4 linked regions of the Drosophila melanogaster genome follow. The protein of the gene in region 2 interacts with the protein of the main gene of each other region in a pairwise test. Each region holds a gene or a part of one and is shown on either strand. Other genes may lie near its edges. The genes, in order: CG15083, Spase25, CG8668 and Peritrophin-15a.

What was found.
Region 1: the proteins of Spase25 (region 2) and CG15083 interact in a two-hybrid assay, tested with the Drosophila melanogaster proteins (one large-scale study listed by BioGRID).
Region 3: the proteins of Spase25 (region 2) and CG8668 interact in a two-hybrid assay, tested with the Drosophila melanogaster proteins (one large-scale study listed by BioGRID).
Region 4: the proteins of Spase25 (region 2) and Peritrophin-15a interact in a two-hybrid assay, tested with the Drosophila melanogaster proteins (one large-scale study listed by BioGRID).

The regions. Positions count from the first base shown.
Region 1 is NT_033778.4:18,833,389-18,837,650, reverse strand, and holds CG15083 (uncharacterized protein), read right to left. Parts: upstream 2,389-4,262; 5' UTR 2,260-2,388; coding exon 2,139-2,259; intron 1,372-2,138; coding exon 1,304-1,371; intron 1,236-1,303; coding exon 1,073-1,235; intron 997-1,072; coding exon 896-996; 3' UTR 809-895; downstream 1-808. Other genes in the region: CG15099 (uncharacterized protein), read left to right, coding at 1-17, 83-304; CG15098 (uncharacterized protein), read left to right, coding at 2,989-3,175, 3,255-3,340, 3,533-3,686, 3,867-4,000.
Region 2 is NC_004354.4:11,483,696-11,487,404, reverse strand, and holds Spase25 (spase 25-subunit), read right to left. Parts: upstream 2,156-3,709; 5' UTR 2,013-2,155; coding exon 1,974-2,012; intron 1,845-1,973; coding exon 1,284-1,844; 3' UTR 839-1,283; downstream 1-838. Other genes in the region: CG33235 (uncharacterized protein), read left to right, coding at 1-636; Uba5 (Ubiquitin-like activating enzyme 5), read right to left, coding at 2,426-3,359, 3,471-3,709. UniProt on the Drosophila melanogaster protein: Component of the signal peptidase complex (SPC) which catalyzes the cleavage of N-terminal signal sequences from nascent proteins as they are translocated into the lumen of the endoplasmic reticulum.
Region 3 is NT_033779.5:8,125,065-8,133,001, reverse strand, and holds the start of CG8668 (uncharacterized protein), read right to left. Parts: upstream 6,002-7,937; 5' UTR 5,356-6,001; exon of another isoform or gene 5,030-5,355; intron 1,716-5,029; 5' UTR 1,577-1,715; coding exon 1,090-1,576; intron 1,030-1,089; coding exon 808-1,029; intron 408-807; coding exon 1-407. Other genes in the region: CG12375 (uncharacterized protein), read left to right, coding at 6,321-7,199; CG8673 (uncharacterized protein), read right to left, coding at 7,281-7,937.
Region 4 is NT_033779.5:8,394,837-8,397,830, forward strand, and holds Peritrophin-15a (Peritrophin-15a), read right to left. Parts: upstream 1,261-2,994; 5' UTR 1,227-1,260; coding exon 1,217-1,226; intron 1,146-1,216; coding exon 877-1,145; 3' UTR 829-876; downstream 1-828. Other genes in the region: Peritrophin-15b, read right to left, coding at 36-45; CG13385 (uncharacterized protein), read left to right, coding at 1,904-2,965.

The sequences.
Region 1 (4,262 bases), on a different chromosome or scaffold from region 2:
ACACCAGTCAGTCACCGGTGAGTAATTCCCACTCTCATCGTATGCGTCATCTGGCTAACTAGTCCCTTTGGCTTTGTTCCAGATACTGCAACGCCCCAGCAATAGACACCTGATGTTGCACTTCCAGCAACTGCAGTCGCTGCAGGAGCTGTACGCTTTTTTCACCACGCTGGGCATCAGTTGCCCCCAGCCGCGTAACTTTGCCGATACGGAGAACGATGTGGCCAATTGCTTGAAGGAGATCGAAGAGGTATTGGCCAATGATTTTCTGGAAAAGCTGCCCAGCATAACCACGCCGAGATGAAAACCGGCTGTTGCCCAACGGCAGACGCAGTCGCAGATCCAAGCGAGTGGGTCACACTTCGAGCTCAAGCTGAACCTGAACCTAGGTATGGAGTCTGCCATGGAGTCGGGCAGTACTGGCCAGGCTGTGCGAATACTGGCGGCCGTGCAGGCTAAGCTAACTACCCAAAATGCCGAGACGAGCTTTACGCAGTCGCAAAACATCAATAACAGCAGCAACAATAAGATGACCAACTTTCCATTTTATGTCTAAGTAAGCAGATTGGAGCAGAAGACGATGCCGAGTATGATAGCTAGCTATATAGATAGAGAACTGTGTCGAGAGTATATAATTGTCCGTAGTGTGATCGATCGTTTTAAATGTTGAATGTTTAAGAACGCGGTAGCCCAATAGCCAATAGCACCCTGTATGTATATGTATGTAACCAATGTATTTAACTGTTGATAGTTGATCCCAAGTCGATGTGAGTAAGAGATGTGCGTTAACGACAAACTGCAATCAAATAAAAAACAAAGCATTTTATTGCAAACACTGAGATGAACGAACGGTGGGCTCTTCCCCGACAATTTATGTAGTGTAGAATGATAAGGACTAAACCACATTCATGGCGCGCGGTGTTTGTTTGCTGGCTTCGCTGTTTTTCAGCTGGAGGTAGAAGGAGTACACAATTCGTGCGCTGAAGAGGATCAATACTGAAAGTGTAGCGGAGAATATGTATGATCTGTACATTTTTGTTAACTCAATTTGATGTTCATAGCCGATACTTACGAAATGTGATGATGTAAACGAGCAGGGCACCGAAAACGTTGTTCATTCCGGTAGCCTCGCGATATCCTCCGTAGTGGAAGATAACCCCGAAGACGGCAAACGGAAAGGAGATGGCTTCAATGGCAGCGAAGATCAGCCAGACGAACACCAGAATTGGCTTTTCCTGCAATTCGGAAAGGTAGATTGGGTTTCGTTGACTCAATAAAACGGAATGGGTTGTATTTTATTTACCTTCAGGGTTCCTATCAATAAGCAAATATTGGCGACTACTACGATGGCAAATCCAATAAAGGTAAGAACTGCAAGGATTCAAGTGAATTTAAATAGAAATTATTGAACGTACATATTTCATTCATAAAAAAAGCCGTTACAATTAGTGGAAAGTAAACATAAACTTGGGCTTATAAGTGACTCAATGTATTCCAAGCAAAACGTTGCTGTGCTCTTATCTTTCTTCCCGTCTGAAATTTGAGAACACGACTGCTAAATGTATCTTCGTATATAATGAGTACATATTGATGCACTGATGCACTTCATGTACATGTGTACATATACATAAAGAACTAAAACATAAATTCTTCTTTTATATTTTAAACACATTTCATACATGAAATATGACAAACTTTTTAAAACAGCTTAGAATAAGGTTTATAGAACTTCTTTGAGACATGGACAAATGCAGGGCTTTAAGTGTTTTTATGACATATGGCGTTCAACTGTTAAAACCCAATAATCTTTTAAGTTTAATTCTGCGCCATGCACAGCCCAAGGAAATTATTTAATTTTCTTTTTTGTGCTGGAAAATTCAAGCCTGTGAGAAAATGGCATTTCGGGCCACCTAAAATGAATTGTCAGCTCGAATTTGTCGGCGATGTCGTCATCGATGGTGAGGTGTTGTATCCAAAATGGTTGTGAATTGGAACGCGTTTGTGTCGAATGGATTAGCTCATTCGTTTATTTCGCATGTGAACATCATGAATGTATTGTCTCTCTATGGAAATAGCGTCAGTCTGGGCAATCAGCTTCTGAAAATAAACAAATGCCACGCCTCTCGCATTTCTCCTACCGTTTGGAGCGAATATAACGTTGAAAGTCATGCTCAATAGCCAATAGATCGCGATTCCCAGGCACCAGCTCCGCAAATCGGTATTGCACGGGCCATTTTCCACCGTCAGATCGATTTTCATTTTGAAACTCTGTGGTTTACAGCGAATTTTCCAAATACAAATATGGCTAGTATGGCACTTAAACCGGTTTGGGAACACCTAGCGCACGGAAACACAACCGCACTGGGCAAGAATCAAATAATAAGTGTGGCGCAAATGCCGATGCCGCTCAGAAGAAACGGTTGCGTAAACTATGCAACACGAAAATACTTTTTTTTCGAGCGTGGAAAAACTACGTCTGATATGTTCTTAAAAAATATATGTGCACTCATTTACTATATGAATTTGTTTGCATATGTTTCGTCATTTAAGAGTGAAATGAATAAAATGGGGAATTGTCTTTAAAATAATAGAGAGATTTAATGCTGTATTATATATGTAATGTAGCTACTATTAGCACCTTGAAAAATATTATGAAAGTAAGCCGCTGCTGTGCAGTGTTAATGAATACATAAATAAATATTTTTTAACTATCATGCCAAATAATAAATGCATAAAAATATTTAAAATATAAAAATGTTATTAAAAGAATTTTAAACAATTAGCGTTAAAAAGTCACATTAAAAGCTGGTGAACAAGTCACAGTTTCGACACCAACTGCTTGAACCAGTCTGGCAACGCCGCTGTACCCAAAAGCTTTTAATTGTCAGCCAATTGCGACTTATCAAGCAATTGCAATTTTGCTGCGCCGGCGAACTGAAGTAAAATTGTCTTTATCTTCGCATTAGCACGAAATCAAGTGAATCCAGAATGCTGTCCAGGGTCTTCTGTATGCGCCTGAACACCTATGGTGTGGTCATTGGATGGCTGGGCGTGATTCTATCCTTCTTGGCCACGATCCTCTTGTCCTTGGCCCTCGGATTCGTCGATGAAATTGCGCAGCAGATCGCCAAGGGATCGGAAGATTCTAACAAGACGGCCACCGAGATTCGCAGTGGTAAGGGCTAACCATCGAGTGCACCCACAACCAATCGTATATTTTTTATTGTATTTCATTGTTCTTGCGGTTATTGCAGTGCTAATCATCGTTTTCAGTGTTTACCTGGCGCTCAAGGTGATTAATCTTCTGGCTTCGGCCATGTTGGTTGCAGGTACCGTTAAGGTAAGTCTAGTATCAATATGCAATCTGTACAATCGCGTATATATGTGTCTACTATAGTACATATCTAGAGTTAGACCTTTTTAAAAGCCCACTATTCTGTAAAAAAAACCGGCAAGTTTCTTTGCAAATACATATGTACATACACCATACTAACTAGAGATAGAGATGGTTCTAATAGCGTTTGCCTTTCAGGAACGCCATTTACTCCTGCTGCCCTGGCTGATCAACAATGGAGTGCTGCTTGTCTTTGGAATTATCACCAATATTGCAATGCTGGCCCAGATCATCGGAAATACATCTTTCCTGAGCGCTCTTCCAATCATTTTCGTGGATGTTGGCCTGCTCTGTAAGTGACTCACCACTTCATACATACATAAGCTCTATCTGGAAATGGGTATACACAATACACACTGGCCGTTGTTGCGAAATTGTGGATCCCCATTGCGCTTATCGCTCGACGGTCTGCGATCGTTCTATAATTGCGCTTGGGCACGATGCTTATTTTTCTCCATTCGCTCGTTTTCAGTGCTGACCTGGTATCTCTACTACGGCATCTACTCGCTCTTCAAGCAGATCCAGGCATCCCGTGAGATCCAGCGCCCGCTGATCCCACAGCCGACCCAGCAGACCAACTCCTATCCCAGCTACACCAAGATTTAAGCTCCAGTGTAGCTTCCCGTTTGGCCAGCTCTTATTTCATCATATCCCTTTTCGAATGTTTCCAATGGGGCTTCCCCGATAAACCCAATATTTTTCTAGCTAGTAGCACCAAAATTATATACTACGTTGTATTTCATGCATCAGAGAATGAAAATCTGTGTGTACATCATATATATTTACATTAACGCGATTGTGTCTATACGTATATCCAAACGAAATGGCCAATACAAGATTTTTCGATTGGCTGCAAAAAAAAAAATAT
Region 2 (3,709 bases):
CGTGCCCACACCGAGGCTGTCGGTCCTACCACGCCGAAGCCATGGGCTCCTGTTCTGGCAGATAAAAAGGATAATGACTATCCTTATGGAGGAAAGGAATGGGCTCGTAAGTTTTTAGAGAAAAAGAAAACCAAAGCAGAGGTGGCTAACCCTACCCTAGCCGAAGTGTCGCCACAGGAAGATGAGAGCAAAGTGGTGAAGGAGCTGCTGGAGACGCAGGAGCAGCTGGACATGGTAGAGGAGATGGAAAGGAAGGAAATGGAAAAGGAGAAAATTGATGAATGGCGAAAGACATCAAAGCAAGTCCTTGAGAAAAATAAGAAAGAGGAAAAGCTAAACTTGCAAAAGCCGAAGATGGCCAAGGGGAAAGTGCAAAAAAAGAAGTCGAAGGACCGGCAATGCGGGAAGACACTAAAGATTGCTAAGGGAAAATTGGAGGCTCTAAAGACGGCCAAGGATACAATGGCAGCAAAGGTGTTAGAAAAGCAGATGATTATGAAAAAGAAAATGGCCCAGAAGATGTCAGAAATTGAGGCTTTGGAAAGACATAAGAAATATGTAGAAATTAAAGAGAAGATGGTAATGGGAAATGGGAAAAGGAACCGTAGTGCCCCATACAGATATCTGAAAAAATAAAAAGATGATGATGACAAAGGAAGCCGGAGCGCCGCAGGAAGAAGGTCAAAAACACTCGGATTTCTGGGTACACTTGGATTGGGACATCTCCACATTGTGAATAAATATAATAACAAATAGAATAATCTTTTAAAAACACATGAGTTAGTCGTACATATAGACTTTACATTACGTACATTACTCTCTTGTAGCCAAAATCTTTAGTATGTCACAAATATGAGCTTTTGGAATATAAAAACATTGATATATATATATAAACGTTTTGACATCGACAACTCCCAATTTTGATGTTTAACTTCTGGGAAGGCAGCCAGGTTAAATATGGAATTAATATCAATGGCCTTATCAGCGCAATATGGGTTTCCCCATCGCCGCCAGTTCCAGTTTGGGCACCCTCTCCTCTTCCTCTGCCGCCACCGGAATCCCCGCCCTCTTAACTTTTAGATTTTTGCAGCTGAACCCATGAAATTATAATAAAATAGTCCACAAATCATTGGTTAAGTTTCTATCAGATTCAGACAATTTATGTTAAGCTGTAAATCAAAGAATTCATTTTATATTATAGTTTTTCCGCTTATTACAAAAGACAAACAGTCGGCTTACCACAAAAGTGTACAATTTAATGAGACAAAAGTGGGGAATTTGGTTTAATTAGAAGAAAGGCTGCTAGCGTTCTTCTTGTCGGCAGCTAAGGCGTTGAACAGACGGTTGACCTCGTTGGCCACCAGGTTGTCCAGGACGATGCCATTCTGATCGATGAAGGCGGCGCACGACTTGTTGCTGCTCTGCTCGCGCCGCTTGCCATTTTTCGTGTCGCGAACACTGAGGGTCAGCAGGTACTTGTCGTCGTACTTGCGCATATCGGAGCTGGCCTCCCACAGGCGCTCCCGCTCCTTGTCCTTCTGCAGGGCCACCGCAAAGGTGCCCTTCTCGCGGAAACTGGAGTGCAGGGTCAGAATGCCGAGGAGTGCAAAGTAGGCCAAAACACTGAAGAGGAGCACTGGACGGGATTCCGGGAAGGGGTGGGTGAAGTCCCAAGCATGGGCCATTATAGCCACGGAAACGGCGAGGGCGCAGAGGGCCAAACGGGTGTTGACCAGGCCGAATTGCTCCTTCAGCTGGGGACGATCGCCAAGGAGGCAGGTTTTCACTGCATCATCGAGGGCGTGCTTCACTGCGGATCCATCCCACTTGTTGACCTTCACCAGCTGGCAGGGCACATGAAACAGGATGGAGTTAGTTTATGCACATATTCACTTAGTTTACATTTACATTCTACAATGACGTGGAACACATCTTAATGGACCAAATGCCAAGCCGGCAACCGGTTTACTCACCTCCTCGCCTTGCTGTGACTTTTCATCCTTCTTGCCCATCTTCTATCTGCTCTCTATTGTGTTTTGATGCCCTTGATTTCCAAGAGAAGTTTGCGAAATGCTCAGAAAAACTCTTTTTTCTTTTTTCAGGAGTTTTCTTCGTTTTTGTGTGACAACGCGACAACAAAATTGTCAATCGTTATCGCTGCCAATCGATAACGGACTAGTTGACCGTGCTGCCAGATAGGGGAAGCTTAAAATACTGAAATACTAGAAACTGCAAGAATTGAAATTTCCCGCGTAATTCAAATAATTTTGAGCATAAAGCATTTAATCAAGTGACTAAAAGTTACTATATATAAATAAATAAAAAATGGCTCGGCCCAAGTTTTACACAAATCGAAGCTGAGTTTATCAAAAAAAAAGTGTGTGTTTTACAAAAAGTGTCTATAAATACGGAGTACGGAATCAATTTACATGGACTTCATTTGCGCCATCAGGTCTTCCAGACTGGTTTCGTCCGCGGTAGCTGCAGATACAGTTTCCTCTGACGTTTCGCTGGACTTCTCAGGAGCCTCGTAGGCGAGCCTCAGCCCTTCACCCATCACTGGGGTTTCGGCGGGCGTTGTATTACTTTCTGGCGCATCCTCGGCGACCAGTTCGATGCCCCATTCGTTGGTGGCATGCAGCGGCTCTTCGCTGACTGCCTTCTCTTCGATCAGCACAGGTTTGGGCCTGGCTTGGAACTCTTTTTGCCGAACTAAACAGTTTCTGTCATCGCACTGCGGATTCGGTTTGAGCGTCATCTTGGGAAAGAAGTCGCTAAGGGCATTGTAGCCCAGATAGTCAGAGACCTCGCCGAAATTCAGCAGATACTTTAATGCGTTCTGGACAAGGAAGCCAGCCGTAATGCCCATAGTTGTGGGCAATGAAGCGGCGCACACGCCCTCTCTCTTCAGCGTCTTCTCGTCGATGTTCTCGGCCACCACCAAGGGTGGTGCACAAGCGAAACAGGCGGTATCGCCAGGACGGATAAACTGAATGTGCCCCGAGACGGCATTTTCCGAAACTCCCGACTCAAACCAGTTGAGATTGCGTTCATTGCACGCTGCATTGATTGCCATTCGTGCCTCAAAATTGTCCACACAGCTGAGCACCAGATCCACCGGCTGGCCAGCTATCCGTCCGCCCTGCGATATTGTGTCCAGGAAGCGATCAAAGTTCTCCACCGTTGTAATATTGTAGTTGTGCGTCTCAATCTCCACGTCCGGATTGATAAAGCTCAGGGTAGCGGCGGCGGCCGCAACTTTGGAGAGGCCCGCCTGATCGGGCGTAAAGAACAGTCTGTTCATGTTGGCCAGCTCCACTTTGTCGTAGTCGAAGAGTATCAGTTTGCCAATGCCGCAGCTGCAGGAAATCAATTGATTAATACATAGCCTTTAATTAAAGACAACATATTTGGAGTGCTAGCTGTGGTGCACAATGACTGTTGCCCTTCTCTTCTTGTTGTGCACGCACCGTGTAAGCATGTCGGCGGTGACGCTTCCCACGCCGCCCACGCCCACAATGGCCACCGCCTTGTAGCGAATGCGCTCGTAGTCCTTGACGATGTTCATCCGCTGCAGGGCCATCAGGCGGCTGTACGGATTGGAGTCCACCACCTCGGCGGACATGCGATCGATGCGATCGCGTGCCAGGCGGCTGTTGCTAGCGACGCCGCCACTGGATTTCGGCTCCGTCTCCAGCTCCGTCTTCAG
Region 3 (7,937 bases), on a different chromosome or scaffold from region 2:
CACGTCCCTTCTCGTCCCGTAATGCATCCAAGTCTGCCGGATGGACATGCGGGCTGCATCGTGAGACATCGCTGAGCTAATAAGAACCAGGAGCTTAATAAACTCTCCGCCTTTCGGACATATGCGCTCCGCATCGATCTCCTCATCCACGTGGCCTGGCTCGTAGAGTGTCTCGGTGGCCACTCCCTTGGAGGGATCTACAGGAGCACTTGGCACCTTGCTCTTCGTCGTTTTCACAGGTGGCACTGGTGGTTTTGCGGATTTTGGCAGAGGGACTGCCGCCTCTTTCTTGGCCTCCTTAATTTCCTGTATCACCTTGGATTCCGGTTCCTGCTTTTCGGACTCAACGCCCGAGACTTCCAGTTTACCGTCCACTGCGTTGAGTTGTGCCATATCCGATGGATTGCCTTTATTTAGAAAGATAAACCACACCATTAATTGAAATGCAAACAAACACTCAAGCGAATTCTAGTCCGTCCCCATAGACATCTGTTCGACAGTAATCCAATAGTATGAAACAATATGTCATGTTTACAGCTCTTTCATAATGAAACACGAAACCTGGTCAAATAAGCGGACTGCACATTTCATTCTCCATTGTCGTGGAGTTATACAAATGGGTGCGCCGCCAGCGGGTCTTTGTCTAAGCAAAACAAAACTAAGGCAAATTATTACGCAAGATGAAACAGAAAGAGGATCAATTTGAAGGAGCAACTAAACTGTTTATCGATCTGGTTTAACAATTTGAAACCTGGATTAATAGGTCTCAAAGGTCTAGCGCCCCCTAAGTAATAGTATAATAATTACCCGTGCTACTGTTCGAAGTGATGTTCTTCAGTATCCTATCGGCGTTCTCAATAAACTTTTGCAAATTGGAAGTGGGTATGAGGAGGTCGGCATCGGAAAGGCCTGGCTGCACCTGCGACTGTGACTGGGGCAGTTGTTGTTGTGGTGACTGGGCGGGAATCGATTGTTTAACAGCCAACGTGTCGGCAGAGCTGTTGTTGTTGGTGCTACTGTTGATGTTGCCTGTGGAATAAACATTATTAGCTTAATTAGCGTCTAAGTCTTAAGCGCACCCACTCTCACCTGTGATGCCATCAACACTCTGACCATACTGCTGCTCCTCCAGCAGCTCATCCGCCATAACATTGGGCGTTTGGTCAGGGCCACCAACCTGGGGACTGGCGCCCGCGGAGCCACCGTCGAGCAGAGCATCCTCGTCGATGGTGGGCAGGCGGTGCTGCGGATGCCTCTTGTGTATCTCTGCCTGTTGCGGCGGTAATTGTTGCGAGTGTCTGCTGGATACGCTTTGCTGCTTAGACGAACTTTCACCAGGTGGCGAATTGTACTCCTTATCCGTGCTATTGACTGGCGGCACTTGGTCCATGGGCTGTCGCCCAGGATGACTGCCAATCAGCTGCTGTGGCGGTGATGCCGCAGGGTGCACATGGTTCGCTGTGAGGGTGCTAGTCGTTGAGTACGAGGCGTAGATGAAAATGGTTAGGATCACCACGATTAGGACTAAAAAGAAGCGTAGCATGCGCGTGTTGTGAAGATTGGCCATAGCCGCCATGGTGGCACTTGCAAAATCTCTCAAATCTCAGTCAGTCTAGGTCTCAGTTTCAGTCTGGACTCCGCTTCTCGTCTTCAATTTGTGAGTATTATGATAACGATCCCTCACGCTTGCGATTCCGACAACGAATGCGATGGAACTGCAATGAGAACGCAACGGAAATAAAGGTAAATAACTGATTCAGCTGATTTGTTATGTGCTCCGATGCCCGGCGCTATAAGATATAGAAGGAGAGAGGGCGCACTTCTGTCCAGCGATTAGATCATTATTTCCGCAATAATAAAACGACAATAATAATGGCAATAAAAATTCGTTCAAAACATTTAAGTGTATAATTAAATCGTAAATATTTTCTTATCCAATATAGAATGGTATTTCAAAGTCGAGTATGGCCAAAGACTCAGTTTTGTTGCTTTTCTTACCATTGGCGAGGAATAATGCAAATATTTGTGTAGAGAGTGAGCTAGTTGGAGTTCACTACAAAAATAAAGATAGCGTCTTATGTACTTTAAGAAACGTTTACAAAAGAACACTTAAACGTAATTAACGTTTTGTTTCATTTTTTTTTTTGCACAATATTTTTCAAAAATATAGTAAAGTCGATGCTTAGTTTTGAACTGTGTGAATGTGCTATTTTATTTCGGAAAACACGAGCGAAGGGCTTGGCTGTTTTGCATGGTAATGGGAGTGACGAACTGAAAAGCATTTGGGAAGTTTCCGTGGGCTAATGAATTTGCCAGAAAAAGGAGAACACACGCACAGCATCCAGAATCGTCACGACATCGCCATCGGCTCTGTCTCCACTTTGCATGCGCTCGAACAAGTCAACAACAGTCTTGACCCTATTCCGCGACTCAAGAGAACCCCAACGGAGGCAGAACAGAGCTCAAAGCACCGGACAGACTCATGCTCCATGCTCCAGGTGGCAGCGAACGAACCACTTGAGTCGCGTTCCATGGCCGCCTGGTCGATAAGATTTCTTATCGTTCGATCCCATCTGGGTATTTCAGGGCTTTCTCAGAATTCCAGTAGTCTTTATATGTATATCTATAGATTTATTGGGCATTTCTCTAGGACGCCATAAAAATAATGGTAGTAGTTTGCGACAGCTCGATATAAAAATCAATAAAACAGCAGGACTCAGAACCTCGTAACTCTTTTACCAACTTTCGATTTGGCCCCGAACCGTCTTGAATAGTCAATGAAAATCCCCAAGTGCGTCACTCTGGGTAACTGTGCTACCTTAATTGTTTGTCGATAAGCCAGTTCGTATCAATCTTATAACACAAATCTTATCTGGTTGTCTAGCGGAGAATGGTAAGTCATATATCTTACTCAAATACCTCATACTAAAGATGTTTATTTATTTGCACAGAATGTTTGTTGGCTAATTAATTATTTTCTTAAAGCCAAAAATATGTTTTTGAGCTTGATTTGAGTTTAATGCGGATTTTATCATAGTTTCTTTATTTGTTTACACGTGCCTAGATATCAAATAACTGTCAGGAAATGACGATTGAAACATTTTTGCCAAAACATCACTTATCTTACTTGCTACCTTTTACCTATGATTAAAAATCGTTTTGAAACCATTTAACAAGTTTTTGAAACTTATCTTATCTGCTTTGCAGAGGTGAAGGAACACCTTAAGTCGCAATTCGACAAGGTAAAACCCAATCGAATTAAAAGTTGTGTCTGCTTCTTTTTCTTTCGATAGAATGAGAACCTTTAAAAAGATGCAATTTATATCTTTTATTAAATGCAACACAAGCATTTTCATTATTGGTCACTTGGTCAGGCAAGTTAAACGCAAGCTGATAAGACAATGGCTAACTTCTAAGAATTTTAGCTTATCAATTAATTATAATCACTACAAATTTACTGTTCCACAACATTTATTATTTCTTTATTGCGATAATGCTATACTGATATCCACACAGTGACATTTAATTAAAATAGCTTCGCGAAATATTTTATCAGTCAAATGGGCTGATCAACTTCATCGATGTGGTCTGGTTTGGTCAACTGTCTGCCGGGAACCGGAAAGAATAGCCACGAGTACGAGCACAATGGAATTTTTTTTGGGGGGCTAAATCCGACAATGTCGTATCGTGTTTTTATGGCTTATCGTGAAGCTGAACGGACGGACGCACACATAGTACAGCGAAATTCTATTTCCATTTAGATCCGCAGCGTGACGTGCAGCGCATTGATAAGAGATAACCCTTTGTTTTTCCATCAAGAGTGAAAGTGTGACTTATCTTGTGCGATGAGACGATGAATCACTCTCTATGCATTGGTTAATTACAGTTTATAAATCGTTTAGTATATGTGCATTTTACTTTGAATTTCTGTAATAATCGCGACCCGTTTCTTATCAGACTTTCATTTCCCTTGCGGGATATAAACATTAAACATACATGTTGAATATGCTATGAACTAAAGGTTCTATTCTAGCAAGTCATATAAAAAAAATAAACTTTTTATCAGCCCAAACTTTGGTTTCTCTTCATAATTAAATCTATAAACAGTAATAAATTTAATGTTCTCCATGGATTTCTAACCAGTTCCCATAACTCACTAGGCATATAATTGTTCAATTTAAAGAACTTTGACTGTAATTGTTCCACATGTTTTAGCAGTTGCTTTTAGTGCCTTGTAATTGTGTGCAAAATTACCAAAGAGCCGTGAAATTTGACGAGAGCGCGTAATTTGATGAAGTGTAACTCGGATTCAGCGGAAAAAGTTGGAGGCTTCGCGAGGGGAGTGGTGAACGGAAGTGGATCCAAGCTTCCAATCCGGCTGGCGGTCGGTTATATTTTTTTTTTTTTCGTGGCCCCACTCCGACTCTGCTAATAAGTACAATGAACCGCAGATAATCGCCGGTTGGACGGCAAACGGGTTTTCGGGCGTCTTGAAACTATCTTCATCTCCAACGGCCCACTATCAATCACAGTTTCGACCAGGAAGATTCAGCTGGACTCCGGATCGTGCTAATGAAAGTCTTCAAAAGAAATTGCAACGAAGTACCTATAAATTTCAACTAAAATCTGTATTCCTACCAGTTGGCAGTTAACAGCGCCGTTTCATTTGTTTTTAAAACACCGAGTTCACAAAAAGCTTAATCACATAGATGTGCGTTGCATTGAAACAAGTAGAAGCAAAGATCATTTGACATTTAACTTTCCCGCAAATCATTTTAAATGCAAATTGAAGTAGGGAAATAAAAATGACTCTTCAAACTCATTTTTGTTGTGCTCTCAAGAAGCTAAACTTACTAAGGAACTAACGAGAAAGCGGAAACGTCTTAGCCTACAAATTCTAAATCTTGCCTTGGTATTCTATTCGTTGATAAGAAAGTTGTGGGAACGCATTTCTGGTACTCTACAGAATATTGTAGAACTTCGAGAAATTAACGCTAATGAGAGGGTAATAATTTGATTTCTTGCGTACATTTGTTCAGAAATCGAGCATTATTGCAGTCCAAGCCAGTGATACGAGGAACGCCACATCGACGTGGAGGTTAGGTGGCGTTAATGAAACCTCCACTTGACTTGGGCTAACTGGTGGTGCAATGTCCGGCCGTGGAGTTTGGAAATGTGCGCTCGTCGGTTGCTTAAGCAGACGTAAATGTGTGTTAATAAAATAACAGAAAAAAAAAAACAACAAAACAAAAACCCTAGGCAACGACGCATCGTCATCGTTGCGTCGCCGAGTCTCGTTGTCCATCCGAAATCTTGGAATCTCCGGGCAGTCAGACTCACTCATTATAAACTTACCTCCCAGTGCGGTTTAGCTGCGTCTCCCTTCCTCGTTCGCTGGAATCTGAGATGGTGCTATTGTTGGACCAGGGTCAAGCATAATTACTTGCTTGCCTGCTTATTTTTAGTGCTTATTTAACGTTAATAAATATGCCTTTTGTTGACAATTAGCGATGATGAATTGCTATCGTTGTTGTTGTTGTGGTTACTCTTCTGTTATCCTAATTTGTGTTGTTGTTGCTGTTGCTGGGCCCCAGGCGCCACCACGGAAATCGTGTGGCTTGGGGAATTTTTTCTTTCTGGTTATAGTTTTGCGCGTATTTCGGCATTAATCGATTTTAATAACGCCAGCCCGTTTCATTAGTCATGCGGGGCATGTTTTATAAATAAATAAGCATTAACACCTTGGCAAACGAAGCGATTTGTTGTTGTTGCTGCGAAGCAGTTTTTGATTTAATTTCGCGTTGCCCTCGATTTTTTTGGAGGTTTTTCGATTGCAGCCTGCTGATGAAACGCGGCTTTTTAACACTTTTAGGGCTTTGCACAATTGGCTGCGTTACAGCGGACGCAAATATTCTAATTTTTTCCTCTTTTTTTGTGGGAACACCATTACTCCCACTTCCGAAAACCAAACCGATTTTGTTCGCGATTAGCTCAACATTAGTGATGTAAAGCAACATCGATAAGTTAAAAATTTATGTTTTTACTTTCGATAAGTCGATAACTGTGCTAAAATGCATATGTTATGGTCACCCTATGACGGTTAACAGCACTGTAGACCAACAGCTGTTTAATTTGCAGCAATATAATAGCGCCTTTCTTGATAGGACCAAAGTTCATTAAAACCCCGAAAAAATTGGACCCTAATATTATTTTCCTTAAGTGTTTCATTTCCCTCCTTAATTTATGTAACTATAACGCAAACTTCATTGTGCATAGTAATCGGAATACTTATCGCTTTCTCAGATTTAGTGAACGAAGAGATGGCGCTGATTCCGGCTGTTACCAGACTCACCTCCTCCGTAATTCGGATACTGGGTTGTAATCCCAGTGCCATGACGCTCCAGGGCACCAATACGTACCTCCTCGGCAGTGGCAGTAGGAGAATCTTGATCGACACTGGTGACGAAGACGTGCCGCAGTACATCGCTCACCTGGGAGATGTGCTACAGCAGGAAAAGGCCTCCATCGACACCATCCTGCTGACCCACTGGCACCACGACCATGTCGGCGGTGTAAAGAGCATTGTGGGTACTAAATTGGCCGAAAAGGATTGCCGCGTATTCAAGTTTGGGCGTACAGATGCTCCAGATGTGTGCCCCGAGATACCGACGGATATCAAACTCCATCCGCTAGCACACAACCAAGAGTTCACCACGGAGGGGGCGAATGTGCGGGTGGTTCACACACCCGGTCACACCACTGATCATGTGGTGCTGGCCATGAACGAGGGCACACTCTTCAGCGGCGATTGCATCCTTGGCGAGGGCACCGCCGTCTTCGAGGACCTATTTGAGTACATGAAAAGCCTGGAGAAGATACTAGACATCAAGCCGCAGCGTATCTTTCCAGGCCATGGCAATGTCATTGAGGAACCAATTGGCAAGATTGAGTACTACATTAACCATCGCAACCAGCGAGAACAGCAAATCCTGCAGTTCTTCGTTCAGCGGCCCAACGAAAACTTGCAGGCTATGGACGTCGTGAAGGTGGTCTACAAGGAGACACCAGAAAACCTCTGGCCCGCCGCCGCCTATAACGTGAACCACCACCTAAGCAAGCTGGAGAAGGAGGGAAAGCTGCGGGTCAGCAAGTCTGCGGATGAAGAGTTCTATGTGTACCAGCCAACCAGTGCGCTCTAAATTCTTGATTTTCCTTTTTTATTTTGTTGAGCGTATATAACTATTTGTTTGTAAAAAATTGTTAAATAATTTTCATTTTCTTTATACCTGGTTATCACACTTTATGGTGTCGTCTAATAACATATTCCACAAGGTAAACTGCTCGTTATTCCTTACCATATGGATGGTAATTTTGTCGCGGATGTGGCACGTCTCGAATTTCGTCCGGGTGTTAGCCATCTCGCGCACATTTACCCGCCGGATGTTCAGACTTTCAGCCACAATGCCCGTGGTGAAGACATCTTCCAGCTTTAAGAATGCAGTATTCAGGGATTGGACATACAGAGCGTGAACAATGTCACCAGTGAGCAAGTAGGCGGGTCCGGTGGTGAAGTAGGGAAAGGTAGGCTTTCCATACTGAGCGTTGGATATGTGATATTTAGACCACCTGTTTCGAATGGGTTTCCAATTTTCGGCCCGTCGTCCGTAGATCGTTCTATTGGCTTTAAGCGTGCTAATGAGGGTCAATAACTTCGGCACGTTGATGAACATGTCATCGTCCGTCTTGAGAACGTACTTAGCCTTCGGACAGTGAAGATCAGCCCATTCCAGCAGAGAAATGGTCTTCAGAGTGAGATTGTTGTACGAGTCTATGAAGTGTCCTCTTATCAGATCCTGGTACATAAAATCCTCCTGATCAATGGCCTTCTTCACCGATTTGTTTTTGCCTTTTCCCAGGACAAATGCCATGCCCACGTC
Region 4 (2,994 bases), on a different chromosome or scaffold from region 2:
GGTTTCAGCGATGTGAGGTCATCAATGAAACTCACCTGCTTTCATTGTGGTTTGTTCGAGTGATTAATACCGAATGCGATTGGAACGCAACGTTCGACATTTTATAGCCACCTGCTATCTATTCCCTGACATATTGTCTGAGACAATCGGAGCTATACATTCTATTTCTTAAAGAACATGAAATCGTTTAAAAATAATCTCATGATCACGATTGGTATCTGTATCTCGACAATTCGAACATTTGACGCCGTCGTACAATTCGTTTTCAAACAAAGAAGTATATTTCACCAAGTGTTGTAGTATACTTAGTTATGATATTAAAATATTATTGAACAAAAAATTTGCATATGATTTGTTTGAATTGACCGGCTCCTATTTAGACAATTTATACCCTGTAAAACTTTACACACTGAGACACAGTGTTTTTGAAATAAACAAACAAATTTTGAAACCAAGCTCTAGTTAAAAAATAAAGTTGTTTGTAAAATTAAAGTATATTGTTTATACTTTATATGATAAAGTATAATTTACTTTTCTCTCGTTCATAAACATTTTATTGCATTAAATGCAAATTAGTAGCAATACGAGTACTGTCTAATCTTTATAGGTTTCCAAGATATCATTTGGACAAAAACATCTCAAAAATGTTATTTACAAATAATAATGAAACTCGTTAACACTCAACTGTACTCAACATCCTATAGAAAGCGACTGAGCAGAAACAAAATATTCTATATACCAATCTAGGTTGCTCTATAACATTTTCCCATATCTTCGAATACTCGCAAGAACATGAGATATTTTAAAAATCCAAACAATGTATGTAATCATTTAGTTTGCCATATATTTTCATTTTTGTTGTTATTAAAAATGCAATCAACAGTAAGCAGTCCAAGACCATTCGCTCCATGAAACGCACTCCTTCTTTGTGGGGTCGAATCCAGTGGACAACGGGCACAACACAGCCGTGGCCGTGGAGGTGGAGGACTCACACCACCAGTAGCGAGTGGGATCCCAGAAGTTGCGGATGTTCGTTTGCACGTTGGATGCGTCGCTGCAGTCGGGCTGGTTGTCAGAATTGGGATCGCACGCATTTCCGGTGCTTAGGAGCGCCACGAAGAAGGCAAGGCAGATCAAAAGTAGTGCTATGGGATCGGCAAAGGGTTGAAGTATATTTCAAATGGGGATTCCTTTTCGATTTGCTCAGCTAACTTACCGGACTTCATGGTGCAATTGAGTTCCCACTGGTTTCGTAAGTGTGCTTTAACTGGGCGAATTCGCAAGCTTATATACCCCAGACCGGCACTGATATTGGCTTTCATCAATAGCAGTTATCTCCGTTGGCGGGAAGCCTGTGCGAAATTCTATTTTGGCAGCGACATGAAATCGTTTCAAAATAATCGCACCTTGTATCGCCCACCGTATCTGTATCTGTATCTCAGCGCATTGTACGCGCCCCTAAGTTTTGTTGACGCAATAGTTTGATTATATGGATGTGTCGTAAAGGTCATGCCGCGTGCCACAATCCAAACTGGGTAGCACTCCTATCAATAAGTTAAATATAGTACAAAACTAGGACAGTAAGGTTTATAATCGAAATTTAAATTTGGGGGCTTCTATTCAAATACCTAATACTTAACCGTGGGGAACCCCACATTCTTAACGCAAACAAGTCATTAGAATTACGCATTTATATTTATATTAATATACTACCCTTAACTGTTGGTGATAGCACTACCGCACTACTAACCTGGTTTTTAATCAACCCATCCGCTATACCGTATACCATACATATCGAAATATAAAACTCCAAAATATAACATTAAATCGCAGTAGGTGTCACACAACTAATTATTTGCGATATTAATGATTACAAATTGCTCGTGATAAATCTCCCATAGCGATGGAGTCGAGGGTCACCAGCGGCACAGGTCCACCGAACACCATTATGATCCAGCTGGTGTCCCAACAGCCCAGTTCCTGTGGACAGATGCAGGCCATGCCCATTTCGGTGCAGACGATACCCTTGTTCCCCAATTCCAGAACATCGACAGAGCGACCTTGTCGATCGGTCTCCATTGCCCCGAATGTAAGACCTCCAACGGATGTCCCTCCTCCTCGAAGGAATTTAAGAATCCGACCCGAGGAATATGCGACACCCAAGCGGAAGAATTCGCAAAGCCAGTTTCGTCATTTCTCCCGCAGCATAAACCAACCTCCACCGGTGTACTATGTTCTTCGACCAGAAGACCGTATTATGCCCATCTACATACCACCTCCGAGGTTTAACAATGAGCAAGGATCAAGGATGGCGACGGAGTGTCCTTGCTGTGGCCATGCCAAGTCATTGAACCCGGAGGAACCTCTAAGAGTCCACGTAGCGCAGAAAGAGTTTGTCAAATTAGAGAAGGCAACTCCTGGACATCGGGATCAATGTACTAACACCATTGACCAGCCAGATGTGGGAAATATAAGGACGATTTACGAAACATTGGGACGCGCAATGGTCACTGCAGCCGTGGAGGCAGCCCAGAGATCCCAGCCAGCAGGACCCTCAGATCCGACAAATGTAATATTGAAACTATTAACCCAATTGGGGGAGCAGAATCAAACAACAGGCTTGAGTCCACATTCAGAAGCAGTAGCAGAAAGTCCCGACCACCAACCACATATGCGCAGGCCCAAAGCTAGCTTTACGGAAGCAGTCCGCATGATGGAGAGGACCTCGTCTGATCCTTCCATTGCTAAAGGGCCACCAGATGAGCTAGATGACCAACGTAGGCTTCCATCTGTACTCTCCGATGGTCGTCTTCGCGTCGAATATCCGAAAACGCCTAGACCAACACCAACATACTCCGTCGAATCTGAAAACACCCTCAGTAATCATATGTCCTCGGAGAGATTAAGACTCGATTCTGGTTCCTCGCCAAACCTGGGAAACTCCATTGGACATAGCCAAGCGTAGCAATGAAATGATCTTCACCGAAGTACCCT